Arabidopsis thaliana: one gene and its partner. The protein of the gene in region 1 interacts with the protein of each later gene in a pairwise test. Each region holds a gene or a part of one and is shown on either strand. Other genes may lie near its edges.

The links.
Region 2: the proteins of ARF22 (region 1) and IAA32 interact in a two-hybrid assay, tested with the Arabidopsis thaliana proteins (2 studies listed by BioGRID).

Annotation. Positions count from the first base shown.
Region 1 is NC_003070.9:12,547,673-12,564,347, reverse strand, and holds ARF22 (auxin response factor 22), read right to left. Parts: upstream 8,344-16,675; coding exon 8,295-8,343; intron 8,219-8,294; coding exon 8,100-8,218; intron 7,888-8,099; coding exon 7,792-7,887; intron 7,696-7,791; coding exon 7,639-7,695; intron 7,543-7,638; coding exon 7,405-7,542; intron 7,327-7,404; coding exon 7,242-7,326; intron 7,151-7,241; coding exon 7,060-7,150; intron 6,981-7,059; coding exon 6,816-6,980; intron 6,706-6,815; coding exon 6,592-6,705; intron 6,503-6,591; coding exon 6,430-6,502; intron 6,357-6,429; coding exon 6,218-6,356; intron 6,114-6,217; coding exon 5,701-6,113; intron 5,614-5,700; coding exon 5,426-5,613; intron 5,336-5,425; coding exon 5,266-5,335; downstream 1-5,265. Other genes in the region: AT1G34380 (5'-3' exonuclease family protein), read left to right, coding at 10,049-10,390, 10,474-10,617, 10,743-10,977, 11,091-11,313, 11,410-11,509; STOP1 (C2H2 and C2HC zinc fingers superfamily protein), read right to left, coding at 11,847-13,346. UniProt on the Arabidopsis thaliana protein: Auxin response factors (ARFs) are transcriptional factors that bind specifically to the DNA sequence 5'-TGTCTC-3' found in the auxin-responsive promoter elements (AuxREs). Could act as transcriptional activator or repressor.
Region 2 is NC_003071.7:111,001-126,564, reverse strand, and holds IAA32 (indole-3-acetic acid inducible 32), read right to left. Parts: upstream 8,548-15,564; 5' UTR 8,391-8,547; exon of another isoform or gene 8,197-8,390; 5' UTR 8,181-8,196; coding exon 8,033-8,180; intron 7,930-8,032; coding exon 7,678-7,929; intron 7,599-7,677; coding exon 7,490-7,598; intron 7,413-7,489; coding exon 7,346-7,412; 3' UTR 7,057-7,345; downstream 1-7,056. Other genes in the region: AT2G01220 (Nucleotidylyl transferase superfamily protein), read right to left, coding at 352-477, 579-689, 867-973, 1,182-1,291, 1,658-1,754, 1,858-2,014, 2,296-2,349, 2,440-2,500 and 4 more; AT2G01210 (Leucine-rich repeat protein kinase family protein), read left to right, coding at 4,831-6,301, 6,377-7,056; PDE331 (Octicosapeptide/Phox/Bem1p family protein), read right to left, coding at 9,269-10,130, 10,242-11,542. UniProt on the Arabidopsis thaliana protein: Aux/IAA proteins are short-lived transcriptional factors that function as repressors of early auxin response genes at low auxin concentrations.

The DNA of each region.
Region 1 (16,675 bases):
TTTCGTAGTAGATGACTAGTGTTGAGTGCTAGAACTGGTCGATGGTTGCTTGATGAATCAGAAAATACCACTATAAAAGAAATTGACACTTTAAACGAAATAATTGTATCCCTTTTATTTGGCAAGTCAGTACCATGTTTTAGATCTTTCAAAAAACGTGCTGAATAGGCTACTTGACAGCTACACTCACCATGAAAGTTTTAGTCATATGGTAAATGCTCATATTATCCATAATTATATTAAATATAAACCGTTACTGAAAAATCATCCTTCTATATTATTTGGGAAGTACATTTTAAATATAACCTTATTTTTTGTAAGTAATTACATAGGTATGCCATTAGAAATAAAATTTTAAAGAGTAAATTAATTTATCTTTTTAAGGATAATAAAATCAATTACTAATTTAATTAATTAAATTTAATAAAAAACGAAATATATTATTAATTTTCAAAAATAATAACCAATCAAAATCAACATATAAGATTTGATATTTAAATTTTAATTAATTTAATTTAATTAGAAAAACGAAATACATTATTAATTTCCAAAAAAGTAACCTATTAAAATCAACAAATTAGATTTGATATCTAAATTATCATATTAATTTTTTATTAATTATTATAGTTCACTTCTCATCTTTATATGATTCTATTTTTGCGAAAAATAATATCATCATTATAAAAAAATAATTAGAGTTTTTTCGCATATGCTATAATTTGAATTTTTGAAAACGAATATAAACTGTTCAATACATAAAAAAGTATTATAACGGATGAAAAATAGATTTAAGAAAATTTTCTACTGAGTAACGAGTTATAATTTAAAATATTTATATTCAATTTCATACATATTATATTGAAAATTTATAATCTTATATACTACAATAATTAATAACATATTAGATTTTTTTATGTGTATGATGTAATTCAATTGTTAATACAAGCTAGAAAATCCTAGAATTGACGGGTTTAGATCGATATTAATACAAGATGGTATACTACAGGTAAAACTCTTAAATTAACAATCAAACTACAAGTGTATAATCTTAAACACTAAACAATATAGATAATATCAACAAAACATATACAACTCACAATTTACTTTTAATATTTTATATACAAAATCAATTAAATCTTAAATTAAATCTTAATCACATAAAAATTAGCACAAAAAAAGTATTCAACAATTAAAAATTTATCAAATCTCTGTGTTATATAAGTTTTGATACTATATTCGAATAAAGTGTAATATACCTTTTCAATTTGTATTCTTTAACTAATTTAAGCTAACTAATATATTTGCTAATCTTATACCTATCAAAACCGACTATCATTTTTTATCTCTATAGTATTTTTGCAAGACTTTTTTGGTGGAATTGGGTAAAAGTGCATTCGGGTCATATGGTACATTCCCCTATTAAATAAAAATGGTATACTCCTATGTTATTAGCTAAAATGTTTAGATTATAATTCAGAGTCATATATTAATAAAATTAATATTAATAAAATAAATAGCTTTTTGGCAAGACGGATTTGGAGTGACGGGTTTTTGAATCAACATTAATAAAAAAGTAAAATATAATTAATACACCGTTTCAATACGGTTAAATCTTTAATTTATTATTTTTAAGACCACTAATATTAAACATATCAAATCATCCTAATTTAGAAAAGATTATATAAAACCAAAAATGTTATGTGGTATGTATAATGTTACCATATATAAAATATAAATGTATTAGAGAATGATATAATTTGCAAAACTTTTATTTATAAAAAATAATTCTTAAATTTTAAAAATTACTACTTTAAAAAACAAATCACAGGACGGGTAAAGAAATTATAGAACGGGTTTTATTTTGGAATTGAGTTATATGGTGGATGTATTTGAATCAATATTTATAAAATTTTAAAATATTATTAATATGCTGTTTTAATAGGGGTTACAACTTCAGTTTTGTAACAATTGTCTCATAGATTCGTGGTATAGCCTTACTTAATAATAATTATAAACTGTAAAATATAAATATTTTATAAAGATAAAATTTACAAATTTTAATATATATTACTTTTAAAAAATAAATTGTCCCGCGGTATACCGCGGGTTAAAATCTAGTTTATCTTATAAAGCACAAGTCACTAAACCAGTAAAAACTTGCTACCTAGATTTTTATTTTTCAATTAATTTTTTGTAAAAGGAATTAAACAAAATACTTTGAGATCGTGGAGAAAAAAAAAGCCTCAAAAGAAAGAAAAACCAATTCTCCGCCTAACAAAATTGGGCTACGTGAAATCAGAAAAAATACATTGTAAGCCCATCACAATTTTTTTAAGTCCAATTGCCCATCCTAATTCTTAGTTTTCTACATGGTTTTTTTTCTTTTTATCTCTCATATGTCGACTATCGTGTCCTATAAAATCTCCAAAAAATGTAAAAAGAATTCTAATTCCTAATTTTGCTCCCACTAACACCTCCAGGTTCAAGCTACTTTGTAACTGATTCATCTTCTATTTAACTCCAATAAATTCACTTTAATTTCTAATCAATATTTCTCTCCTTCGCCAGGTAATTGTTGAACTGTTTTATGATTCTCTGGTTCCAATTATAAATTTCCTCATCAATTGTCACTACATCCTATGCCGATTAGTCATATTCTTTTCTTTTATTTTTGTCAACTCAGTTGAAGATGCCTATGGATTTTACTCATGTTTCACATCTAAATTCTTCAAAAAAGAATAAAAGATCAAAGGTCTAATATCCTTGACCTTGAATTTTTATCCCAAAAACAAATAGAAGGGAGAAAACGAAGGAGATGAGCCTAAAGAAGACAAAGGAAAATAAACTGTTGGCAAAAAATGTATGATTATTCACTATGGAGGGACCTAAATTATTAATCCTGATAATATGTTCTGATTTTAGGGTATCATCAATTGCATGTCTCATCTTCTTTTTGCAGTTTACAATTTTGTTTTGTTTTTTGTATTTCTCAATTATGGTTTAGGTTTGTTCATCATCGTTTCATCAATTGCATGTCTCATCAAATTCTCTATTTTAAATTCTTTCGATTTTCAAATTATGCATTCGGAATTCACAAATTTGCTTTCACTTTGTTCATCATTGTTTCATCAATCACAAGTCTCATCAAATTATCTATTTCACATTTTTTCTTAGTCTTCAGAATAATGAATTTTATATTTACGTTTTCAGTATCTATGACATTACCATGGAGATGAATCTTCTTAAACACCATTCACTCCAACACAATGGCAAGTTATGCATATATCCTTTGTTGCAGCACAAAACATTTTCGAAGAAGAGCAAATTTGAAGGTAAATTCACTTCTCTTATGGTCAACCCTAAACAGATTTTTTATTATCAATTTTGCAGGTTTGTTGCATCTCCATTTACTTATGTTTCATATCATATTTCTGGTTTTTTTATTAAGTAGCCAAGAAATTGTTTAATCTTTTCAAACTTCCAACTCTTTATTTCTTATGGTTTTTCATATGCTATATACATATTTCAATCATAGTCGATGAAGGGTATATCTCTTTTCATCATATCATTTATACAAATTACAATGTTGTTTCACTGTTTACAACGGTTTTTGGAATGCTTTATTATCTTTAACAAAGTTCTCTTTGATTTGGCAGGCTCTCTAGGTCTTTTACAAGTGATCATATACCATTGAGACTCCTCTACTCGCACCAAGTGGATTCCCGTCAAGCCATTACTCGCATCACACCAATTATTCAGATTTTGTATTATACAAGCTAAAGAAACAAAAGACTCGGCTGGGATTTTCTCCAAACCATTTGGCTTACTCTTCATTTTTTTCATCACCATTCATCAATATATCAAAATTAAACATTTTCGACTTTATTAAATCGTATTGTTAAATGTTTAAACATCTAAACATTTCTATCTTTGTTAAATGGTTTAATATATTTTGGGCCGTACGTAATACGAGTTTTAACACTAGTAAACTAATATATGGGAAAAAAGATATTCAAAATTTCTCTGTCGATAACAAAGATGTTTTAAAATGTATAAATGCATTACTACCATTATCGATATGTTCAAGTGTGTTTTATACTTTTTGTTATGTACAAACAATGACGTATATTTGAATATGATTTTATTTGTTCGTTACTCGAATGCAATAAAACTTACTATATGCATTCGAAAATAGAATGTTTTATTATTTTTTGTAGTACTCTTGCATATAGAAACTGAAACTTTTATTAAACAAATATATCGCATCTATGCAACCAAACTTATTTTTACAAGAGTGATTATTCATATTAATTTCTGTTCACCCAAAAAATATATTTTAAGTTAGAAATATACAATTTGGTCCTCCCTCCTTTTCTCTTCCTTCCTTCTTCTTGACATTATCAATTTTGTCCATATTTATAACCATAAAACCGCTTACATTTCTGATTTTTCATATAAGTTACATTTTAAATTTCCAAATCACAAAGTATATTTTCTTGTGCAACAAACACATAGTAGTATGTTATTCCTTAATCTCCCAAAAAAAATCTACATTATTGACTGTTTTAATACAATTCAAGCATGTGAAATGAAGAAAAAACTCTTTACCAAAATCTGAATACTCGTGATGCCGTTACACCCGATCTATGATAACTTTTTATATCTTTCCTGCCTCTACTTCCTTATTTATAAATTTTTCTTAATCATGACAGTTGAAATATCTACTCACACAATACTTTTTTTGATTTAGTAGTTTTAATTGAATATGAATTGGCCGAATTCCCAAGTTTCCCATAAATTTATATATATATATTAACTAGTTGTGAGTGGTGACACAATTGTAGTGATAGATTTAAGGAAATATTTACTAAAAATATAAACATATTTAGCAGTATCATTTGTTTATGTCTTTAAAATATCCGGTTTTGCAAGTACAATAATAGGTAGAGTAAAATCTTTAATTTATTGAATGACTATATACTTCGTGTTACACAATTTTCTTTTCAAAATATCATAAAATAAAATACTACACTCAAATTTTTAGAATGTAGATGTGATATGTATATTGTATGAATTAGAAAGAAAGCTCTATATCACGACAACAAGGGAATTTTATTTTATTTATGGACGATGGAAACAAAAGTACATAAGACAAATGCATGCAACAACAAATAAGAGAAAAATAAAAATAGGACAAGACACCGGTAACATTTTCGACCCCTTTTATTACATATGTTTTGATTCTTAATTCAACTTGAGAGACTCTTACTGGACTTCAAGTTTTTGACCTCCTCTTTTGAATATCAATATCTTCTTCACCATGTTGCAGAATTCACTATATGCAAACAACACAAAAAATGAAATATCAACGTCTCTCAAGATTTTAACTAATCTTTCAATCGATAGAAATAGAAAAGAAACTTACGGCCATGGATCGTCTCCAACAAGCATCTTATCATCGTCACTATCTGTGAAAGCTATTTCCCATTGGTTGCGAGTTTGTAATTGGCCTTTGAGATCGAAGAGCTCCTCCAATTCTAGTATTAGCTGATCATATCCATTCAGAACACTTAAATCCACAGCTCTTTCTATTGTTACACCTTGCATTTGAACCTGTTCCATATCAAGATTGCGTGAGTTGAGTACAATGAGAAAAAGTTTCATATATAAAGAATAAGAATATATTGATCTTATACTTACTTTGGTACAAGTTCTAGTAGAACTGAACTGCTTGCTTTGGATCTCTGTTGGTGATCTCAAAGTTTGGCTTTGACCAAACTTTTTTCCTTCAGTAAGTTTCGAAATCTCCGAGCCAATTTCTTCAATGGGATCTTTGATCACTGAAGGAGTGACCAGTGAGACTCCAAACAGCCTAAAATTAGTGCCAGTCTTGGTTGTTATATTTTCTTCTATTTGTGTAACCATTTGGTTATTGTAATTTAGTTTGGGCATTGGTTGGACAGGGTAGCTCATTAGCAATCTAGAAGGATTCATAACATCTTCAGTTGTATCACGATAAGTGAGAGAAATATTCATCGGGGAGGCCACGCTTAGTTGGCCAATTTCTTGTCCTTGTGTCAATATAGGAGGCAAGAGATGTGATGATGAAGAACCTGTATATAAAACAGGAATATTGAGAAGGTATTTAAGAATCTCAAATTCATTAAATAGAAGATTAATTCTTTAAATAAAAGATTATAAGAGTCTCTTTTTATACCGATTTCATTAACTTCTCGTAAACGCTTGTTCTTGAGCAAAGATGGTCGCGGAACATTTAACGCAGGCATTAAATGTTCGATCTCCCAGGGTGACACTTTATTAGGTCTCGAAAATGATGCAAATTCATCCCACTGCACCTGCAAGATTAAATTTATTGCATTCAAAAACGTATTCCTAAAATGATGTTTTAAAGTGTGAATGAAATTTTACTTCTAAGTTGCGCCACTCTGAACACTTCCAATGAGGAGAGAAATCACTAACTCCAATAATTGTCCCAAAATATCTTAATCAATAGAACAAAATGTGTTATCATAGATAATATTAAACATTACAAATATATTTAAGTAGAAAAAAGTTTTCATCTAATGTTACCTTCTTTCAGAGAAATCATCACCCTCAAACCGCATTGTAAATCTTGAACCAACATTGAACTTATTGTTCACAGCATCTAAGAATTTGTCGTAACTGACAATAAATTGACTTGATCTGATACTTATAAAGACACAAAAAATATATAAACCTACATGTTGAAGGAACTAATCTATTGATAAATCAATATAATCTTAAAAGTGAGTTCAAATGGTTCTTTGAATTACCTTGGCTTGTAAACCACAATGAACATACATTGGTTATCAAAAGCATGCTTTGCGGAAGCAATCACCCCATGTCTCATACTTTCTATTGATATTATTGATGAAGGTATATTCCCTTGTTGATGTCCTGCTCGTCTGATACCAACTCGTAACTCTCCAGTCTCTCCCCTGAAACCACAAGTAAATAGTTTAAAATCCAAAACTCAAGAACCAAAAGATCCCTATATAAAAAAAACCAATAATATACCTAACGAATACAATAACATCCCCTGCAACCAATTTTTTTGATGTTGTGAATGCATTCCAACCAGTTGTTAACAAATGTCTTTGCGGTGTACCTGCATGGGATAAGAAGATTATTAGTTACTTCTCTAGGATTTATTACCTCAATAGTTGTGTTTGAATTATATGAATAAAAGGAATTATTACCTCTATAGTTGTGGTTGAATCTCCATTGATTACCATGGAGATCTGTAGCAAGAAGTTCTTGTGTCGGTAGAGGCTGAGACATATCCTAAACCAAAATTTAATATGTAATGTCTAATGAAAGTTTAAAATTCAAATTCGTTTAAAAAACTATAACATTAAATACCAGGGGAGGAAGACATTCAATGGCATGTTTTTTTGGAACAAAGAATCCACCGCTTGTATCCGAGGCCGTTAAAACCTTCGTAAAGGAATTAACTAATGGTCTAAATTGATTTTCATTTTGAGTAGGGATTACAACTTGCTAAACATTTAACAAAATCAGAAAATCAATCAGCTATAATAAGAGAAAAAATAGAATTAACTGAAAATAAAAGAGAAATACTAAATTTTCACTTACAGTTGTATCTGGCATCAAAGTGATCTCAGCATAAGTCTCATCACTATTGTTTTCCACCTAAAATCAAACATCAAACAATTAACCAATTACTTATTTTTACAATGAAATCAAATATATATCATGCGTATTCGGTAAAACATAATAGAGATATACCTTAAGTTGAATAGCAATAACACGACATTGAAGCTTAGAAGGAAGATCACAAATTGGTTTTAACTCATTCAACTCTTCTCTTGTAGATGCCTCAACCTGAAAAAAGTCGTCAAAAGGTTTTGATACACGAGAGAGAGGGAGAGAGAGATAGGGAGAAAGAAGAGAGAGAGAGAGAAGAGGGAGAGAAGAGAGGGAGAGAGAAAGAAGAAAGAGAGAGAGAGAGAGAGAGAGAGAGAAGAGAGGGAGAGAGAAAGAAGAGAGAGAGAGAGAGAGAAAAAAAAAAAAAAAAAAAAAGAGAGAGAACTCACAAGCTCTATATTGCCTTGAGGAAAGTAATAAATCTTTTCTCCAAGTTTTGGAATATCACACAAAGGCCCCGCACAGAGTTTCCATAACTGCTCGTACATATAACTCTTGGATCCATCAACTGCCGAACAAAAACTAAAACATTATAACCAAAACAAGTTTTCACTAAAATAAAATAAAAAGTCAAAATTTCTTACTTATGCCTGATAATTCAGGTTGTGCATTCACAATGTTGCCACTTTCCATAAGCTCGTATCTAAAGATCGGTATACCAAAATATGTTATCCCAACAATTATTATACAACTTTCTCTCTTTCCTCAACTTCTCTCGCGACCATGAGAGCACAGAATATCACATTTATAGGTAAGAAGTATTAAAATACTTTCTTAGATTTGAATACTAAATTTAATAAGGTTACCAAAAATTAATAAAAGTAATTTAGAGAAATGTCATTAATATTTTGACTACATATAAGAAAATCATTAACTTACCAAAATCAACATATGCTTTATTCATATATAAGTTGAGTAATATAATACAGTTTTAATACTTACACCGTGATCAGACCTTTCATATGGGATCTATGGTACATCTCATGTTAGATTTTTCTTTTCGCTTCCTCTATAAGTTTATAAGGATTCCTTATAAACCGGGGTTCTATAAGTATATATTGTCGATATTTGGAGAAATTTCCAAGGGCATGTTCCCCTTTCCATTTAGTTGTGATGTGAATTTGCATGTATCCCATGGCTATTGGGATGTCCTTGGCATCAGGGGTGGATTCCCGGTGGTGGTTGTGATTTGGCCTTATAAGGGGGTGTGGATTATAATATGATGAGTTCCATCAAAAATGTACAAGGGTTTCTCGTTGCCTCTCAACCCGAATGTCATCTAAGCATTTTGTTCTATGTTTTATATTGATGGCTTTTATTTTGCTTCTCCGTCAAAAACGTGTTTCCGTATTTTGTATCTCTGTCAAAAACATGATTTCGCATCTTCCGCCAAAATGTGTTCAATGATTTTCCCGTCTAAAACATGTTTTCCGCAAAAAAAAGTAATTCTTTATATTTCTGCCAAAAATATAACTTCGTAATTTTCTTTCAAAATGTGATTCAGTGATATTTTCACCAAAAACATGATCATGATTTATGATGGTGATCAGATGATCATTAATAGTGATGATGATCACGAATGATGATGGTAGTATGATGATGATTATAATAGTTATTATTTACTATTAATGATAATTATTTAGATTATAGAATATTTTTTTTTATCATCTATAGAAAAGTTATTAATTGAATAAACTTATTTATCCATTAATTCAATAATTTAAATGACTTATGGTTTTATCCAAAGTATTTGCTAAATGAATTAGATTGACTCATTATCCATTAGAAATTAAATTTGTATGGATATAGATTGGTTGGATTTGGTTTAACCAACTTGACATCCGTAAATATAACACCCACAAAAAAAAACTTATAACACATTAGTCAGACAACAACAAAAAAAAATACGATTTTTATTTGTATAGATTTATTTGATCCAATAAGTTTACCTTACTTAATTTAATTTGTAAATTTTTTATTCTTGTGAGAGTTAAAATTTTATTTGTTGTCAACTACACATTAATTAAAAACTAATTATATGAACGCTTATCTAATCTAGAAAAATTAGATTATAATTTATAAATAAAAATGTAGATGATCGATCTAAACAATCCTTTTTAAAATTATATATGAGAGGAAATCGAAATGAAAAGAGAAAAGAAATTTGACCAATTACAACAATGGTGATGCTAGTGCTATCATTGAGACTACACTCTTAGAGCCCATTATAAGGCCCATTACGTAAAACATAATAATCTCTGAACTAATAACAAACGACTATGGGATATTTGATCAATTGACTTGTATTCTTGTAGAACATACGCAGAGGTTGACGACGATGATAACAGTAGGATTTATTCAACCCAATTCTCTCTTCTCCTTCTCAACTAAATCCATCGACAAGACACAACCTTCACGAACGAAATGGGTCTCTTCCTCGTCCTCTTCCTTTTCTTCTCACTCTTCCGTTGAGACATTTCATCGAACAGGTAATGTGCAAGTTCTTCAGAAAGATGTTCTCTGTGGCAACAATGAAGAAATTAGGAAGAAGAATAAAAGGGTATTCTTCTTAGACGTTAGTCCACTTTGCTACGAAGGAAACAAACCCAGTTCGCAAGCTTTTGGTCACTGGATTTCACTCTTCTTCTCTCAAGTCAGCCTCACTGATCCTGTCATAGCTGTAAAAATCTCTCCTTTTCTTTGATTCTTTCTTCCGCAAGCTTTTTCTCTTCTTCGATCAATGAAAGATAGTTCCTTTTGTAGGTTATCGATGGAGAAGAAGGTAACCAACGACGCAGAGAATTGTTGCCTTCATATAAAGCTCATAGGAAATCACCAAATCATGGGAGATACTCTAAGAGGCCACATCAGTTTGTTGATGAAGTTCTTAGAAAATGCAATGTGCCAGTGGGTAAAACTGTTTAATACTCAATGTTCAATAGACTAGCTCAATTCTGTAGCGTGTATATAGTTAAGTGAATTAGCCGTAGAAGTGAATGAATGATCTTACTGGATTCTTGTTTATGTGTTAGGTTGTTAGAATAGAAGGGCATGAAGCAGACGATGTAGTAGCTACGCTAATGGAACAAGCTGTGCAAAGAGGATATCGTGCGGTTATTGCATCGCCTGATAAAGACTTTAAGCAGTTGATCTCAGAAAATGTTCAGATTGTCATTCCATTGGCAGATCTCAGAAGATGGTCCTTTTATACTTTGAAGCACTACCATGCTCAATATAATTGTGATCCACAGTCTGATTTGAGCTTTCGTAAGTGCCTAAATCGACTTATGGCTACAAACATGTCTCTTGACGCTTGTCTTTCTGTCAACTTTCTTTGTTAAGTGTCAAAGCCAACTCAATCCGGCTGGTTCTTGTGATAGGATGTATAATGGGTGATGAAGTTGATGGAGTTCCGGGGATTCAGCACATGGTCCCGGCGTTTGGAAGGAAAACAGCGATGAAACTTGTGAGAAAACATGGTTCTCTGGAGAGTTTACTAAGCGCAGCAGCTGTAAGAACCGTGGGGAGACCATATGCTCAAGAGGCCCTTACGAAATACGCAGACTACTTGAGAAGAAACTATCAAGTTCTTGCCTTGAATAGGTTCTTTCTTTATCACTTTAAACCCCTTCATTTTGATTGATTATGCATCACTTGTAAGATATTCTTGCTGATTCTTCAATCATTTTTGTATCATAGAGATGTGAGGGTACAGATTCAAAATGAATGGCTGATGGAGAGAGATACAAGCAATGATTCAGAAGTATTGTCAAGCTTCTTCTCAACATTGCATGGATGATACTGACAAGCTAAAGCACACTCTCGCATTTTAGCTGATAGCTAGTTTTTGTGAGCTTGAAAGTAATTTTAGACATTGTAGTTCATATCTGATTTTGTTATATACTTCCATAGATATGAATCAAAATGTGCAGTTTGTTACTAAATTTGTTTATCACTATGGACATGGCTGGTTAAATCAAAATGAACCATAATAAGTAAGAAAAAAAAAAGAATCCAACTTTCTGCTATTCTGATATTATTATTATGGCGAAAACAAAATTACAGACACAAAAGAACTGCTTAAAAGGCTAAAAACTAGAACATCTTACATAACTTATCATATATATGGCAATGCCTTAGAGACTAGTATCTGAAACAGACTCACCAACATTCCTGGGCGAGAAACCACAGGCATTCGCAATAAGCATTTGAAAAGAACTCTCTGAATCATCAAACATCAGTCGCGGAAACTCGTGGAACCCTCCAAAATTACATGTATCAAAGTTCATTGGTGAGAACGACTCCTCAAAACATATCCTCCCATCAGTCATTCCAGGCTGTGTGGTTTCTTGGTTAGCATTTGATGCAGAACCAAGATTGAAGCCAACCATTCCTTGGTTGTTGTTCCCGCCTTCAGAGCTCCCTCTCTGAGTAGATGTACTGGCTGATGGTTTTGTCTCTTCAAGAGGGATTGCAGGCGTGTGTCCCTGGAACAGAGCTATGTGACCAAACAACTTGTCTTTCCTTGAAAATGTTGTACCACAGGAACAAAGCCACTTGTTTTTCCCGCAGTGCTTCTCGTGGGTTTTAAGATCTGCAATGACAGAGAATTTCTTGGTATGGCACCGGCTGCAAGTGAAGCTTTTATCGCAGTGGGTGCGTTTATAGTGATTCTTCACGCATAGAATCGTTTTCAAAGGCTGGAACTTTTTGTGCTCCTTGTTACGTTTGCAACCAAGGAATGGGCACGAGTACCTCTTGATCAGCATCGGCTCAGACCCGGGTACGGATTCTTTGTTCGGTTTCGCCAGAGCAGCTGCTGTTTTGTACTCATCTCCATGCCCTCTCATATGCATCCTCAAATTCGCGTCTCTCTTGAAACCCTTGCCACATATCGTGCAGAAGTGAGTATGCGGTGCGAGAATCTCTTCTTTCTCAAGCTGCAATATCTCATACGAACCGGGAGGAAGGTTCTCTCCTTCTTCCACATCATCTTCATCTTTCATCTCATGTTCCTCCACAACATGACCTTCCCTCTCATCAACAAGAACCGGCTTAGGCAAATCGAACTCTCGAGCACCACAGTTGTTATTGTTCTGACTCTGTGAAGCAACGTTATTAGCCTCCCTTACATAAGGGAACACGGCTGAACCGGGCTGCCCAGTGAATGGACCCGGAGCTGTTGACATATTATGCTTAACAGATGGAAGAAGACTACCTGCAGTTGAAATAAGCTGTATGATAATGGAAGTAAGATCCGTCGTTATAAGCTGCTGCTGCTGAGCCGCGAGCTCGTCTTGACGACCTTGAAGCTGCCCACCACGACCAACAAGAAGATGAACAAGATCCTGCAGCTGGTGAATCTTCTGCTCCATAAAAGAAAGGTTACTCAACATCGTCCTTGGATCCCACGCTTGAGCCCTAACACCTTGTAAGAAATCAACATTTGCTTGAATGCTCTCTTGCAATCCAGGCTCCACACCCATCTCATAATCCAAGATTGAAGCATCTTCCCACTTCTGCTGGGACGTAAAACCTGCGAATGTCGAATTCCCACAGTCTGATGAACCCGGCTCTCGCGATTTCGAAGAAGAGCTTCCCCAATTGGTGTTGCACAAATCGTCTTCAGTTTCCATTTTTTAGTTCAAGATCTTGTTTTTCAATTAAGAGAACAACAAAACCTACAAAAGAAACCATAAAAATCAAATCTTTATCAGAATCAGAATTAGGACCAGCTCAAAGTTCATCATACACACTTCACAGAATCAAATTTCATTACTAAGATTCAAAATCAAACTCAAAATTATCGAAATCAACACAAATTCTTCACCCAAACAAACAAAAAAAAATCTTCACACATAACTCTTAAGATCCAAAAACCAAACGGTCAAACAAAAAAAAATCATCAAAATCATCAAATCAAAACTCGCCGACAACAAAATAAAACCCTAAATCAAAAACAAACACGATAAAAACAAAGTTTCACAAATCAAAGATCACTAAATCAACAGAAATGAAAAAAAAAATAGAAAGAGAGAGATTGAATCACCCACAAGAAGAAAAGCTTGAGATGGAACTTGGAGAGCACCAATGGCCGCTTTAAGAAGAGAGATAGATAGAGAAAGTGATGATGATGATGATAGAGAGAGAGGAGGAAGCAGCGCCTGAGCGGGGCTCATGTTTATTAGCTTTGGGGTGCTCTCCACTTTCTGATCTACCCTATGTAAAGTCAACCCATTAATCTCAACCGTTGAAATTATATAAAGATCGGTATCAATCAGATCTGACGGTGCAAAACCATATTATCGCATTGAACATGGTAACGATGCATTAGAGCCGTTGATTTATGAGAAAAAATAATTGATTACGAGGTGATTAGAGTAAGTCAACCTAATCATCGACCGTTCGTTTATAAGTAAAATCAGATCCGACGGTTTATATGCGTTTATCGCATCAAGAACAGTACCGGTGTATCGCAGCCGTTGATTTAGAGAGGTGTGGGTGGGGTCTACGCTATAGTTGGTCGTAGTTTAAATATTATTATTCGTATTATCTTTCTCTTTCTGTCTGTCCATGCACTTCATTTTTGCTTATTTGACTTGGCTACTTCAAATATTGAATATTGTGTGCATTAAATATTTGTTTTATTTCAACTAGATATTTGACAATTTATAAACAACAACATTGTATCTTCTACAATTTTGATGTTCGAATTGGTGGAAAAATAGTTATAAAGGTGATGTTTATCATATCCTCCTTCTATTTTGGATTAGTTGTTTTTAAAGGTTTTTACACATAAATTAAAAATAAAAATTGTGTTACTCCTAATTAATATGTTATTTTATTTAATAATATTAAATAATCATCTAAAACAATTAAAAAAATTAAAAAATTTATCAAAAAGATGCATTGAAAATATAAAACGACAACTAATTTGAAACAAATTTAACTTCCCAAAACAATACTTATTTTAAAACGAAGAGAGTATGAGTTCAACAAACATTTTGCTTCAAAATTGGAGTAATGAGAGATAAATGTAAGAAAAATTACTAAATTTGTTGTAAATCAAACCATATTTATTTAAAATTTGTGAGTAACCAGAATAAATTTCATAGAATTGCCATAGCTAAATAATTTTAAACTGTACGTTTCACAGTCGTGAGAATTAATCTCATGAAAATAATAATATTCGACATAGTTCATATTAAAATTTACATCTTCGAGTGTTCATCTTTTATATTGAACTCCCAAAAAATATATTTTTGTTATATTCAGATGAAGATAAAATCTATTTCACTTCTAAACTGGAGTCTGTTTCAAGATTCATCTACCATAAAATCTAATATAAGTGTCTTTTAATTTGGCTTGTCTAATTAGTCTAACACTTGACAGAATTTTTAAACATACATCTAGTATTTATATCAGTATTTATCTAATTTATTGTTGTGACTTAATTGAAAGACACTATTCTGCATATAGTATGTATCTAGTTTATTGTAGTGAATAAAATTTTGATTCTATATGCATGCATAAATATACATATTTAGGTATATTCTGTATGCATATTTAGGTGTATAAACATGTAAATGAGATATAATCATTTTAACTATTTCAGGCACAAAATATAGAACAAAAAATGTTGTTTACGTCTAGTTTTTTCATGTACCACATGATATGTGTTTACTTAAAACATAGTTATATTTTTTTTGTAAAAAATCAACCCTTAGTTACTTCTTCGCCAACAGAAATTATGATCATACTATTAATTATATTAAAAATCTGGATAGATATCGAAAATTACCAAGAATGGATATCGTGAATGATATAGCCACTTTCAAACAAAGAAAAATTAAATAAGAGGATAAAGTAACTTAGATTTTGAGGAATCTCCAAATTAAATTACATCAGCCAAGTGGAGTCACCTGCCACGAAGGTTCTCTCGTTCATGCACTCGTTGTTGGAAGGCCAAAATTGAATACTAATGAATTTTCTATAGTTAAAGTAAATTATCTTTCATACAAAAAAAAAAAATGGATCGTTGATTGGGAAACACAAGATTCCCACATGCTAAATCCCTTCTGAGCTAATTAAAGAGTGTCGCCGTTAATAGCAACAACATTCACCATTTTCAAAACCAATGGTTACCTTTATTTTGACTTTGGATTTTCTTGATACTTATACAATCCCAAACTTATAAGTTAATGCTCTTTAATTCGTTTTCATTTTCACAAACAAAAGGGAATTTAAGTTCGGCAGCAGATTCGGATTCGCGAAATCTTAATTAGGGTTGGGCATATTGGTAACCCGTTCCGGTTCAGATTAAATAGGTAATGGATTTACTACTTAATACAGTAAAAAAAAACATCTTCGGTTCCAATACATCCGGGTTTAGGTCGGTTTGGGTAAAGAGTTTGAAGCCCTAAAAATACCCAAAAAATAAAAACGGATATTTTTTATGTAGATATCGGATAACCGAAAAGAATCTTAAAAATTTGTTAATTTTTAATAAACTTAATTATATTTGAAGATATTTTACTAAATTTTGTCAAATAATTTTATATAGTAAGTATTTTATTGTGTGACAAAATTTAGTCAAACAATTGTTAAATGGTAATTATGATTTTCATAATTTGATTGGTGTCATCTAACCTCATATAATTCAAATAGCTTTGGTTTTAGTGATTACTCAAATTTCAAGCTCGTCTAATGCATATTCTTAACAAAAACAAAACAAATTGTTATCAATAAAAATAATAATCTTATCTATATAAACAATACTATACTATAAAACATATAATATCAACTTTTCCCAAATATTTAGGATTGATACTCAATAAAACACATGCGAATTTCTATTAGACTTTTCTAAGTATATTTATAAAATATGCGTTGCATTTAAACGAAACAAGAAAACGGTCTTCGTTTTACGTCAGAAAAACAAACAAACAAATCAATTTGAAAAAGA
Region 2 (15,564 bases), on another chromosome or scaffold:
GAGACCTGTGAAATAACCAGCACAATTTGATCATTCGGTACTACTATTACAAGATTTTCACTAACCCTACTTATAGGTAGAGCCCTGGTAATATGATTACAGATTCTAATCAGCTCACATTCATAAATATTTAACAAGGCTTCTCTGTCACAATTCACAAATATTCGCACTCTTTAAACGTTTCCCATGCAACTCTGCAATGCTCTTTCGATGTCATGTGCAAATGCTCATACCATTGATCCGGATTCCATAATAAGAACAGAATGCAACACAATACATATCAAATCAAAAAGTAACTGCACTAAATAAATTGTCTTGCGAGCCAAGACTTTCAAGCGGGTTGAGAAGTCATTAGTTCGTACCACCCCCTTGTTTTTTTCTTATCTCTGTAGAGGATATATCCATCCGGAATATATCTGCTGGAATTGAAATAAACATGTCGATTATTTCCTCTGGAATATCAACATCTTCAAGAACCTGCAGAGGAGCAAGGATAAGGCATTAGGCATACAATCTCATAGACAACTCTCAAAGGGACTAAATTTGTATTGCTCTAGATTCTAGTGCTTAGGTCAAACCTTAAATACACCATCTACATTGCGGCCACCAACAAGGAAAGTGCAACCTGTCCGTTTGCAATCACCAAGTATCTCCAACATCCTTTTGATGCTTCCTTCATAGTACTTTGGCTGCAAGAAATTCAGTTTCTTAATCTTCTTTGATAGTGTGGAACAGGAAGATATAGAGCACTTCAAATGTCTTACTAAGTTTCAGGTCGCTCACCACAACAGGTAGTGTATAAATATAACTGTAAGGAAAAAAAAAAAAAAAAAAGAGGATCAGGGAACGGTTCAGTTTTTACATACATTGACAAGCCTCGCTGCAGTGTCAGCGCCAATTACAAAACTGCTTCCTGGGAAGAGTTCAGCTTTCTTGTAGAAGTATGGCTGATTTGAAACTATTATCGTCTTTCCTGCCAACCGGATACTAAACCAATATCAAATCATGGCACAAGCATATAGACAAAATAAATGCATTGGAAACAATTATAGCTCGACTCTGGATCATAAAACTGATTGGTCTTTCTCTAGTTGGAAACAATTGGATCATAGAGATACCAAAAAAGTGGTGCACAAGATTGAAAAGATAAATAGATAGTGAAAAATAAAGATCCGGCCTACCAACTACTTCAAATTGCTTGACACGATCTTTAATCTGTGCAATTGTAAGCGGTGGTTTGTCGGCATTTATTGCGGATATTTCAAAACATGGGTAGCCGCCCCCACAAACACTGCATCAACAAATCTGCTTGTGAGATTGTTTCTATTTTATTTTCCAGAGAAAAAGAACAGTTATCTGATTTGTTGTTTGGAGATAGTAAAATTGTCAAAATGCCAGAGGCCTCTCCAAAATCCAACAACGGAATCAATTCATACAGTCACAACATGTGGCCACAACGAAAGATATTATCAATTACTACTCTTGCATAATATAGCATATCAGATTTAACTAAGAAACATAGAGACAGCGAAGAGTCAAAAGACACAGAAGACTCAGGTTATACATAATGATTGACATTAACAACGGTTATTCTTTTAAACATGTTCACCCGAAAGAGAAACAGGTACTCGTTATCGTTAAGCAAATACTAGCTTACCTCATAGCAACTTCTAACAGCTTGAGATGACCTTCATGTAATGGGTTAAAAGAGCCAGGTAGTATAATCTTTCTGTCTTCATCAGACCCGTGTGCTTCTGCCACAAAGTTAGAACTACATCATTAGTGGCAACAAATGCCAGATGAAGTTTGAAAAAAAAAATTCTAAAGTTTCATTGGGACAAATGACCAAAATCTTACCCCCAGAAAATGGATAAATCTTACAGCACAAGTGCCCATTTATAAGCTGCTCTAGTTCTTGTTCTTCAGTAAAGTGGGTTTCAGACTCATAAGGCACCTCAGACTCGGTCAAGCCAGAGTCAAGTGTCCCAGAAACTTGGCATGCCTTGGCCATAGCCTAAGATAATGACCAGAAAAGGTTTTAACAACTCAGTCCATGATGAACCTCAGAAAACAATGCGTTTGGAGAATGTGGAAATTTTGGATTAAAACTGGCCTAGAAGAATATATAGTCTAAATAATACAAAATTATGAAAAAGAAATGTCTGCAGGTACTTGTTTGTAATACCAGTAACCAAACTAACTTGTCACTATTCCTAACAAAACTAGAGAAAGGAAAATCAGATAGCAATGGCCTAGGCAGATTAGTACCAGGTTGTAATTAGCTTAGTAACACACCTGGATCAGTGCACAGCTTGACACCTTATCTTCTTCTTCTCGGCTCCGTAAGTTCTAAAGTTTTCCACAATAAGAATAACATACATTGAGTAGTTGATAGAAAAGAGTAAAGCAATATGGGAGAGAGAAGGTTGCAGCAATCACCTTAGTTAGAGTGACTGAAGATTCCAAAATCCGGTCGGATGCTCTCATAGACAAAAAGAACCTATACTCTCGCGCAACAAACAAAAACTATGAGTGACAGAAAGAATAAAGGGCCATGCTAGAGAACTAGCTTATTGTGATAGCTTTCATTTCAAGCAAACAAGTATATTACTATAAAGAGCAGGAAACAAAATTGCATAACCTGTGATCTCCACGCTTAGGACGAGAAGTTACCAATGATCCCGTAAACCCGACACCGAGAACCGGATATCCTATCCACAAGATTAAGGAAGTTACACCAATCCACATTACTATATTCCAGGACTTCTTGCTAACAAAGGATGGTGAAGTGAAGAAAGAGAGCAAGTACCTGGTTTAGAGAGCTTAAGCGCCCGATTGTAGGCTAACAAGGCCATCTCCTTGGCCAATGCTTGGCTACAGTGTTGGCTCGGAACCTAAAAGAGAGCGAACGAAAATCAGCTGATTAATGGAGAGAAGAGAAACATCGATTGCTATAATGAAATTGAGAGGTTTATGAACAAACCCTGCCGAGTAATTGAACCATAGATACTCTCGAATAAGGAACCACGGACTCGAGAAGCGTGTTCGACGCTCCAGGAACCGACATCAACCAACCTAAAGCCTGAAAGAGAATTCAATTTCGATCACTCAAAAGCACAGAGCAATCACATACTTGTGTATATACGAATCAATCATAAAGAGAGAGAGTGAAACCAGAGAGGCACCGCCGCAAAGATAGACGACGGCCTGCGTCGGAGATGAGTGAATGGCTTCGACGACGGTACGGATCGCAGCGTCTCCCATTGTTTCTCTCGGTTTCGTCTCCTCCCATTGCCGTGCCAGCAAAAAGCCAAATTAAGCCCCCCAAAGTTTCCGTAATTTCAATTTATCCCCAACAGTTTCCGTAATAACAATTCATGCCCAAACGTTTCCATAATTACAATTTATGCCCAAAATAATTTTATATTGCACTAAAACCCAAGTTGTTTGATTTACTAGTATGTAGCCTCGGAGTCGTCGCCGTTAGTCCGTGAGGAGAAAATAGGCCCACTCTGGCACACTCTCTCTGGGTTTAGGTTTAGGTTTTTTTGGGGCTCTCTATCCTAAGAAACTAGGAGACATCACACTTCACCAAGTCTACTTATCGACAATTTTATCGTATCACCATAACGACAATAAGGGCCGGACTAATGTTTGTACACATGTCCTCTCCTTTTACCCTTTTAAGGCTTTAGCTAAATCTAAACCACATTTATAATCGTTTATTATATGAATCTTCTTCTTGCGAAAAAACATGTCAAGCTACTATTCTAAGTAAAATAAGAAAGATGAGCTGTGATTTATATGGTAAAGTAAGATATAAAAGAGGTAGTACTAGTACTGTAAAAGCAGACTCGAGGAATAAAGAAAGCAGGAAGAGCGTGGTGGTATCTTGTGGCACCTTTCTTCTCTAGTAAACTCCACTGTTATGTTTGCTCTCTCCCAATCGTAACTAGTTTGTTCAATGCTCATTTGAAACTACACTTGTTACTACTTGTTACTACACTTGCTACACTCTATTAATATGCATCACTTGGTATTTTATGGAGTTTCGTGCTAGAGCAACATCATCTAAGAAATAAAAAATGAATGATACTACTGTAGTAGTAATATATTGACAAGATAGATTAATAGAAAAGGACAAACACTGTAAATGTTACCTACATTGACACTTGACAGATCAATCAAAGGACCCCAATATATTACTTTTCGGAATAAAACAACAATCATGACAAAAGGTATTACAAGATGTAACTATTTGAATAAAGATATCTGCATTTGTAACATTTTGTATATAGGAGAGATTACAAAGATATTGGGTCTGATTGGTAACCAAAAGCTGGACAAGTTTTTTACCTGTTAGCTGAAGCTATTAGCTTTATCGGAATAGTGCAAAACTGTTAGAAGAAGCTGTATAAAAAAGCTGTACAAAAAAGCTAAAAGTAAAACTTTTTGTAACACTTTTAATAAAGTTTTTATGATCGATTCAAAACTGTATAAAGCTTAAGTTTGTTACCATTCAAACCCATTAGATTAGTGGTCAAATTAGCGTATGGATTACTTCGCCATGGCCTTCTCTTTTCTCCAACTTTCACCTCTTTCTTTGGTCATTTCTTTTTTTTTTGTTAATTCTCTTCTCCCAATGCAAAAACAGAGCTCTCTCTCTCTTTCTCTCTACTTTTTGTATTCTTTCTTTCTCCTTTTTCTTCAACGAGAGTATCTTTTTCACTTTACTCTTCACTCCATCAATATCACACTCTTCTTGCTACTATCTCTCTTTGCTTTGTACAAAGCCAACACTCGTCTTTTTGTTCTAATTTGCATCTGATAATGTTGGCCTCGCTGATCATCTTCGTTGCTCTTCTCTGCAATGTGACTGTCATAAGTGGCTTAAACGACGAAGGCTTTGCGCTCTTAACGTTTAAACAAAGCGTTCACGATGATCCTACAGGTTCTCTTAACAATTGGAACTCATCAGACGAGAACGCCTGTTCGTGGAACGGTGTAACTTGCAAAGAACTCAGGGTGGTGTCTCTAAGCATTCCAAGGAAGAATCTTTACGGTTCTCTCCCTTCGTCTCTAGGGTTTCTCTCCAGTCTCCGTCACTTGAATCTCCGGAGCAATAGGTTTTATGGGTCGTTGCCTATTCAGCTTTTCCATCTTCAGGGACTCCAAAGTCTAGTCCTTTACGGCAATTCCTTTGATGGGTCATTGTCGGAAGAGATCGGTAAGCTGAAGCTTCTTCAGACCTTAGATTTGTCACAGAATCTCTTCAACGGGTCGTTACCACTTTCGATTCTGCAATGCAACAGACTTAAAACACTCGATGTCAGCAGAAACAACTTGTCTGGTCCTTTGCCTGATGGGTTTGGCTCAGCGTTCGTCTCTCTGGAGAAACTCGACCTCGCCTTCAACCAATTCAACGGCTCCATCCCCAGCGACATTGGAAACCTCTCCAACCTTCAAGGAACTGCTGATTTCTCTCATAATCACTTCACCGGCTCAATCCCACCTGCCCTTGGAGATCTTCCTGAAAAGGTTTACATTGATCTCACTTTCAATAATCTCTCCGGTCCCATTCCTCAAACCGGTGCTCTTATGAACAGAGGACCAACAGCGTTTATCGGCAACACTGGTCTATGCGGGCCTCCATTGAAGGACCTTTGCCAAGGATATCAACTTGGCCTCAATGCCTCTTACCCTTTTATCCCAAGCAACAACCCACCTGAGGATTCTGATAGTACTAACTCTGAAACCAAACAGAAATCAAGTGGTTTGAGCAAAAGCGCCGTCATTGCCATTGTTCTCTGCGACGTGTTTGGTATCTGCCTTGTGGGTTTGCTTTTCACTTACTGCTACTCAAAGTTCTGCGCTTGTAACCGCGAGAACCAATTCGGAGTCGAGAAAGAATCCAAGAAAAGGGCTTCTGAGTGTCTGTGTTTCCGTAAAGACGAATCCGAAACGCCATCTGAAAACGTGGAGCATTGCGACATTGTTCCCCTCGACGCTCAGGTTGCGTTTAACCTGGAGGAGCTGCTAAAGGCGTCAGCTTTCGTTCTGGGGAAGAGCGGAATCGGAATTGTCTACAAAGTGGTTCTAGAGAACGGGCTCACACTGGCCGTACGGAGATTGGGTGAAGGAGGGTCTCAGAGATTCAAGGAGTTTCAGACAGAAGTTGAAGCCATAGGGAAACTAAAACATCCTAACATTGCTAGTCTTCGAGCTTATTATTGGTCTGTCGATGAAAAGCTTCTCATCTACGACTATGTTTCCAACGGTAACCTCGCAACCGCCCTCCACGGTGAGTCACTCTTTTCTCATTTCAAGATGCATTATTCAGTTACATCATCGTAAATGTGTGTGTGTGTATGTGCAGGAAAGCCGGGGATGATGACCATCGCTCCGTTGACATGGTCTGAACGGTTGAGGATAATGAAAGGGATTGCTACAGGGCTTGTTTATCTGCATGAGTTTAGTCCCAAGAAATACGTCCATGGAGATCTCAAGCCAAGCAACATTCTCATTGGACAGGACATGGAACCTAAGATCTCAGATTTTGGACTAGCACGGTTAGCTAACATCGCTGGAGGATCTTCTCCGACCATACAGTCTAACAGAATCATCCAAACGGATCAACAGCCGCAAGAGAGGCAACAACACCATCACAAGAGCGTATCTTCGGAGTTCACTGCTCACTCTTCTTCTGGATCCTACTATCAAGCACCTGAGACTCTCAAGATGGTAAAACCTTCACAGAAGTGGGATGTTTACTCTTATGGGATCATTTTACTGGAATTGATAGCGGGTAGGTCTCCCGCAGTGGAGGTGGGGACATCGGAAATGGATCTAGTGCGGTGGGTACAGGTATGCATTGAGGAGAAGAAACCATTGTGTGATGTTCTTGATCCTTGTTTGGCTCCTGAGGCAGAGACGGAAGACGAGATTGTTGCTGTTCTTAAGATTGCAATCAGTTGCGTGAATAGCAGTCCAGAGAAAAGGCCTACCATGAGGCACGTTTCTGATACGCTCGACAGATTACCCGTGGCCGGCGATTGAGACATCTAGAGATTGCACATAAAGCTTGTTTTGAAATTTGAAGCTGCAATGTATTTTGAAGCATAAGCCTGATGACACTAATGTGGTTACCGTTTGTTTTGTTTTATTTTGTTCTTTTATTTGTCCCAGTCTTGTTGGTGGTTGGTTATTAAGATGTCCCTCTCTTCATAATCGTATTTATAGCTTAAAGCTTCCATTACATCAGATATTGAACAATAGAACCACAAGTGAGCTAATTTGGATCTTAGATAATCAGTGAACGCCCCAGAAGAAGCTTGGACTTAAAAGCTTAAAAGGGAAGAAGAGCATCGTTTCTTCTTGCGATTCGCATCCGATCCACGCTTTCGACAAACTCCCTACAGGTTTCAGACAAATTACAAAGTGGTTAACTTAAAATGCTTAGTTTTTGTATAGAGAAAATGTAAGAGCTTACTTCCATGGAACATCCCCAACATTCCTCCAAATGCCTTCTCTGTCTCTGTAGACCAAAGAGAACTCAGACTCAGTCTGGAACAACCTCAATCCCGACACGGTCTGCATCCCTGCAGATTCGAATTAATGTGGCAAAACCTTCTGAAACATACTTGTAGCTGGAAGCTTGGGGGTCAGAACACGGCTTACCAAACATATCATTGAGCTGAAGAGCAAGAGTTGCGTAAGCTCCTTGATCAACAAGGCAAACCTTGCGCCCTACCACTAGGCCATCCAGATTTACCTTTACGTAAGCATATTTTCCTCTGCTCTCTCCTTCATTATTGTAATATCCTTGGGCAAGTCTTTGGTGTCCAGTGTCCTCACTCTTCAACTGTGTAATGCTGTTATAGCTGGGCTGCGACCAGTCTATGAGCTCTCCATACCCGTCGAGACCTATCACTTTGATTCACATATAGATATTGAAGGTAGCAAGTTGAGGATTAAGAAAACTAACTAATGATGAGGTGAAAGCACGGCTATTCAGCAAAAAAAAAAAACTCACTTCGCGCCGGTGGGAGGTAAGTTTCATGTTGTATGGTCCTAAGGCTGAGGCCTAGATCGATTACCCCACCACCCTTTTTGGTCTGTGAGTAATATGTATGAAACTTGGAAGAACCTTTGAAGAAGTCTGCAGGTGTGTTTGGGTCCATTGATGCTTTTTTATTTCTAAAGATGCAGAGAAGGGAAAGTGAGATGAGAAAAAGAGAGCTCACTTCTAAAGATTTATAGTATGAGCTGATGCTAAAAGAGTGTCAGAAGAGTTAAAGAAAAAAAGACAGAATTGCAGACATGAAAGAGACATAAGACAAGAAAAACCCATTAAGATCCAGTTGGTTTGAAGCAAGGGATGGGGAGCTGACCACAGAGAGAGATTTGGTTCAGATCTTGTAATCCAACCAGGTCTGCCAATGCTTCTGATGCACAAAGTCACATCTCAACTCTGTGAACACTGCAGAAATATTATCTGGGACTATTGACAACTCGATTCAAAGTGAGGCTCTGTGTTGCTTATGAGAGAATAGTGTAGTGCAAGAGTAAAATATCTTTGAGTCATGTATAGAGAGAGAGATAAAAAGGACTGGGTTTGGTGTTTAGGTAAAGATACAAATGCCTATCTCTTTCAAAAGAGATAGTTGTGTTGCTAAATTGCAAGACAGATCGATTTTGTCACTACCTTTTTCACCCACACCTTGTCTCTTAGAAGTTGTAGGGTTTGTGTGTACTTTTGCAAGACCACACACATGTTTTAATATCTGTACCTATGCTCCCATGGATAGCAAGAAGCCAGACATACATTCTTCCAAATATTAAATGTTATACATAACATTTCAGAATCTTTCTGAACAATATTATAGCCTTCAAAGTCTCTTGAAAAAACAAGATAGAGAGATGATGATCAAAAAAGTGATACATTTACAAAATGAAATGAATGATAATAATATGATATAAGATCCAGGAAAATGGTAAAGCACTACATGTATCAATTGCAACTATATAATGTAAAATCCCACCAAGAAGCACTATTTATTTGTTTTTTTAATTTACTCACACAACACTTTTAAACACAACCCATAATACCAAACTTAACATGACACCAGACTCTTTTTTTGATGCAGCAACTTGTAAAAGAAGAGAAGAAAAAAGAAGTAAAAGTTATATATTTATACGTTTAAAAACCAACCCGGGGTTTTCTTCCTCCAAAATTTTGTGGTTCATCTTCATGTGTTCCTTGTGTGTGTCACAATGGCTGTGAACTCCGGATCTGTTGAGTCATGTTCTCAGCTGGAAGCTTAGCAGCAGCAGAACCATCAGGCATCACCATGGCAGGTGGAGGCCCAGTCATTGTCTGGTACTGTGCATGTCCCATAGGTTGAGTGTAGTATATCTGTGTATGAGCATTGTCGACATATTCATATCCATAGTTTGGATTCCCAGCTGAACCAGACTGAGGAGGGTGACGGATCTGCGAATACCCCATGAATTGCTGCTGGTTTGTGGGAATCTGGTGAACCATCTGAGCACCGCCCACACCTGGGGCTGTTGTGTAAACCCCAGCCTGTCCCATCTCAGGTTTGCCACTGCTAACACTTCTCATGTGGTTGTTAGGAGGTGGAGGCATCATGGTAGAGTTGGGATGGTTAGAGGGGATAGACCCTGCAGCATCGCTCACACTTGGAGATTGTGGCACAGGCATACTGTAGGGCCTAGGTGGGACAGGAGCAGTGACATAATAAACAGGATAAGGCTGCTGATCCAGTCGACCTGCGTGTTGATGGAAGGACTGTTGAGGCTGTTGCGAAGGGTAAACCTGGATGTAAGTCGGGACAGGAAGGCCGCTAGACGGATGGTGATGAATGTATTGAGGAGGAGCAGCAGTGTGTATGAACTGCTGCTGTGGCTGAGATTGTGCAGATTGTTGCTCAAACTGGGGGTGAAGGATATAGGCTGGGTCCTGATTCTGATGCTGTGACAAAAGTGTGCTTGGATCTGAGGGATTGATCATACCAGTAACAACGGTAGAGCCAGAAGGTATCTGAGCAATTGGTTCTTGATAGACAGATGGTCTTTGGTGAAACATTGGGTTGCTCATACTGCTATCACTGAGGCATTCATTATATAGCAAACACACAATCAGAGTTCTGACCAATCTTAGTTCTTCTATAGCATCAAATTAAGGCTCATGAGGGTTCCAATATAAGAAGAAAGAGTACCTGGAAACGGAATTGGGTGATGGCAGCTCGTGTCCACCACCGCTATTTGATTTCAGCTGATGAGCCTGCTGAGGCGGTAGATTCTGCGGCTGCGATCGCGGAGTCGGAGGCTTCCTGTATCCAGCCTGCACGCCGTGATCGGATCTCTCGTCATCTGAGTAAACCCTGGCCTGGAACTCATTAGAGACGGTGGCTGCAGTCACAGGCGCAGCAGGAAGGGCGATTGTGACAGGCATCGGCGGTGGTGAAGAGATCGCAGCAAATCCGTCGTCATGTAGCTGATGCTTGTTCCCGACGTTGAATCGTGCGAACTGTTCTTCAATTCCCAGATTTCTCTGATCTGGCAAAGTCCTTACTCCGCCTGGTTCCTCTACATGGACACGGATCGGAGGCAAATTGGCGAGCGAGGGAGACGAAGAAGTGGAGCCGAAAGAAGAGGATGTATCTAACATCGGAGAATCCGGTAAGCAGTTCACATCTTGGCCTCCTTGCTGTTGTTCTTGCTGCTGCGGCGGTGGAGGTTGCTGTTGCTTGGCGCTTTTAACAGAGCCATCATCACCATCTCGATTGTTGTTGTCACCGGAATTAGAACGGAGAGCAAGAGCATCATCCAAACCAAGTAAACGATTGACGTTAGTATCAGAATCTGAGAATCCTCGATTGAGAAGACCGGCGCTATTGAGTGCGTTGAGGAACCAATCGTCGCTCTTGGCAGAGCTCTCAAGGATCTGACCCATAGATTGAGTAGCCTCAGGCTTGGAGGTGAATAGAAACAACCGGAGACGCGAAGGTTTGGTGGAATTGGAAGCGGAAATGGTACGGTCATACTCTTCGATCATGTTGTCGAGATCTTCGTCGGTAGTGACGGAGATGAGAGAGTCAAGGTCTTCGCTAGGTAACTGGTACTTGAGGGTGAAGGAACGACCGTCGAGAAGCGTGTTGGAGAGACGAGCGATGAGAGAAGGGAGAGAGGAGTTACGGTCGACGACAACGATGCGAGTGTCACCGCCCATGTAGCAGAGAGACTTATCGTGAGGGCGAGGAAGGATATGACCGCCGTAGCTACACATAAAACGAAGTTTAGAAGAGACGGCGCTACCACCACCGCCACCGCCGCCGCCAGAAGGAGCAGGAAGGTCATCCCAGCCATCGGTGGTGCGAGAACGAGGGGAGGAGTCGAGAGATTCGGGGTAAGAAGAAGTCACGTGAGGAGGTAGAGGAGGAGGAACAGGAGCAGTGGCGGCGGAGATGGAGGTGGAAGCCACCGCGGTGGAGGACAGAGAAGAAGGCGGTGGTTCCATTTGCAGAAGAAAAATTAAATTGAATTTGATATTTAGAGAGAGAAAGAGTTAGTACTTAGTAGTAGTATAGCTGTTAGTCCACGACTTGTATGTAAATGTAGACTACAGCTGTTTTTTTTTTCTTCTTTTTATTTTCCTCTTAAATCTCATTTTTGGCATATTTTACTATTTTTACCAAACAATTATGGTTAAATTTATTTCTCTTTCAGTCCAATTTCTTTCAGTTTTTTTTTTTTTATAATGACATTTTAATAGAAAATCATGAAATTGATAAGAATGTTTGTGTGTATTACCTTAATAGTGTTAGTGAATTTGTGTGTATTACCTTTCAAAATTGTATTTGTTCGTGATGGTTTATCTGATGCCATGTATATCATTTTGTGTTGATAAGAATGTTTGATGCAATTAAGACCAACATGCTCTTTCAAATGGATGTATGTATGATCAACTATATAAACCATCCGTCAAGCAGTAAGTATAAATTGTGTATGCGAGTTAACTGCGAATCGAGAGACCGAGTTCTCAAAAATGTTGTTACATACGTGTCGGGATTTTTCATAGACATTACTTCCTTTATATCAAAATATACGATGTTTTAGGATTTTTTTTTAAAATATATATCATGTTTTACAAATTTTTAAATACATTTGATATTTTATGATCATTTTTATTATGCAATCTTTTATATCATTGACAAATTTTCTTGAATTAAATATTAAATAATTATTTTTTAAAAAAATATTTTAATACAAAGAGAGTAAGATTTATCACTATCTTAAAATTTTTGTTATTAGTTAGGAAATAAAAACTCACACTATAATGATCGCCTCAATGTTATTTTGTCGACTTTCTTATGGATACATCTAATGCATTATCAACTATATAAACCGTTTGTCAACGAGTAAATACAATTTGTGTATGTGAGCTAACTGGAAATTGAGAGACGGAGATTCCATAAATGTGGTTACATATATGTCGGGATTTTCCATAAACACTACTTCCCTTATATCAAATTATAAGATGTTTTAGAAAAATTTTAAAATAATATATACTTTTTACCAATTTTTATGCAAATTTTAAATATTTTGATATTTTATGACCATTTGTATTATGCAGCCTTTATATCATTGGCTGAATTTTTTTGAATTAAATTATTTAATACTTCTTTTCAAAAACAATTTATTTTTTTCAAGTGTATGCATTTTAGCTAAAACATCCTACCTTTTAATACAAAGGTAGTATTTTTTTGTTATTAGTTAGAATGTAAAAACTCACAATATAATGATCGCAAATATGATTAAATTTAACGTATCATTAGGCTATTGTAGTACGGCTGGTGACAAAAATATTTTATTTAGTAAACTAGTATACCCACTACAAACAGTCAAACAATGTTAATATAATTTAATTAGTTAATTGGTTATTTTGTTAAAGAAAAGCAACAAACTGATGATAATTTAGTTTTCTACTACTACTGTATATTAATATATATAAATATATAATATTACCAAAAAGAGTTATAAAAAAAACCCAACGGTTATAAGTTATAACATACAACAAGGTCACATGAAAATGGTGAATAACCCCAAAACAAATATATTTTGGCACATTAGCAACAAATGCACGAGATTATTACCTTTTCAAATCACTTTAATCAACAATTTAGAAAGGAATAAGATGAATAGAGTTTCCTAAAGCAAAGTAATGAATAAAATTGGACGATGATATGATTATGGAAAGCTGATTCGTAATTACTTTGATTAGTAAAAGGTGAGACATTATAAGCGTTACTAATCAAAAGTTGTAATTAAGGAATCAAAGAAGTTGTGGGTCACATTATTTGACAGCAGGCCTACTAATTGGTTCCTCGCTGGAATCTGCCAAAGAAGAAGAAGAAATCTCTCTACTCTGTATCATCTTTCCACTGTGATCCTGTCCGTAGATTCCTCCTTATTTTGCGATTCAGATTGCATCCGACGGCTCTTCACGTACTACTACTACTGGTATTATTTAACTATATTTATTAGTTACAAAAGGAATTATACCTTTCATGGCTTTTAAATTAAGTCCTTAGAACATTTTCAATGGAGTTTTCTAAGCTTAAGAGTTAAGACCATTTCTAATATTTCTAATGGGAGTTTCTTAACATAGGTTTTTTAAAATAAATTAAAGTATAAGTATAGATAAATAATAATTTTTAATGAAGGATTTTTTAAATTTAAAGAAACTTAGCCCAATTGTTTTTTAACTAAAAAACAATTGAATTAAGTTTTTTCAAATTTAAGAAACCCATCTAATATTTAAATAATATACATTTTTTATTATATATTAAGAGTTTTGTTTAGAAACTACCATTAGGGATGCATCCTCAATGGAGGACTCTTAATTTTTTCTTCTAAATACCTATATATTATTATTTTAATATAATTTACTAAATAATTAAATTTTAATTTTTAGAAAAAAAAATAAACCAATATAAAAGAGACATGTGTCTCATTAGACTCTTATATAAATTTTAGATAAGAGTTTTTTTTTATTCTCTATCTTCCTATTCTACTTTCATATGCAATAAGAATTACCTAAAAACCCTTCTTAAACAAAATTAAAATGTAAATATAGATAAATAATATTTTTAATTATGGGTCTCTTAAATTTGGTGAAACCAAGACTAATTATCTTTTAGTTAAGAAACAATTGGCTTAGGTTTCATCAAATTTAAGAGATTCATGTAAGATTTAAATCATATAATTTTTTTATTATTTGTTTAGAAATCCCCATTGAAGGTGTTCTTAATATTCACCCTCTGCCTAACACCTTCATAAATCATAATATTTACAAATTGAATAACATAAGATGACATTAATGGTTTCAACCAAAGAAATTGCCACAGACATGAAGAAGCTAGTGGTTTGCATTGGATTCGACCTCTGTTGGAGAGTCAAAGAAAGGGTCGTGGGTAAGACTCGCGTCAAAGCTCCAGACGGCGCTCATGCAAGCATTCGTTACAGTTTGCATTTTGCAAAGTCTAATGATAATTACACCTAACGAACAAGTTAATCATCGATAAAACCCTACTCTTAATCTTTTGCACTTTACTCCACCACCTTTCTAGTCATTTACACTTTGCTAGCCCTTTTTATTTATGCACCCACATAAAAAAAAAAGTACGATTTCATTCTGACCTAAATTATGAAAATGATAATGATATCACATCATTTCTTAAAAATATAATAAATACGAGGATGATAAGATCAGGTCACAAGGTAGCTTGTGGATAAAGTTTTTCAATATTGAAAACAATAAGTCGGGCTATGAAACATAGATTCATATTATTGAAATCAAAGAAGGTGGGTTGGTGGGTGGGTGTAGGTTGATTAATCAAGAAATAAGTCTCCAGGGGCAAACGAATCTTGCAAGTAATACAAAAACATTAACTATATAGTTAGAGCATTTTCAATGCATAATTTTATAATGTCCTCTATTTTAGAGGAAATATATTTGATTTTGTTTCATTGTATATCTGTAAAATAAAGTTAACTCTAAAATAGAGAAAAAATGTAGAAATTCCTTTTTTTTACTCTATATATAGAGTAATCTTTACACTTTTCTTATGTTTTATAGTTAACTCTATTTTAGAAACATACAATAGAGCAAAACTAAATATATTTTCTTTAAAATAGAATCAACTCTAAAATATAGAAAAAATTAAAGTTAAATATTGGAAATGGTCCATTACATTACCGATCTAATCGAGAGTAGTTTTTTCTTCCATCCCATTATCTTTTTTTAAAAAAAGGTTTTAGACTTGAGTCAAACTTTAATTTACACTAATTTTCATATTTTCTATATTTTCCACCGGGTCAACTCTATAGCTATGACAATAACCGATTATATAATTCGTTGTGTGTAGCAGATTACGACATTTAAAAAAAATAGATATAAAAATAGATAAGCATAAATTGAGATAAAGTAAGTAACGTCCCTTTCAAAAACTAACGTTTTCATTAATTTCATACATAGGA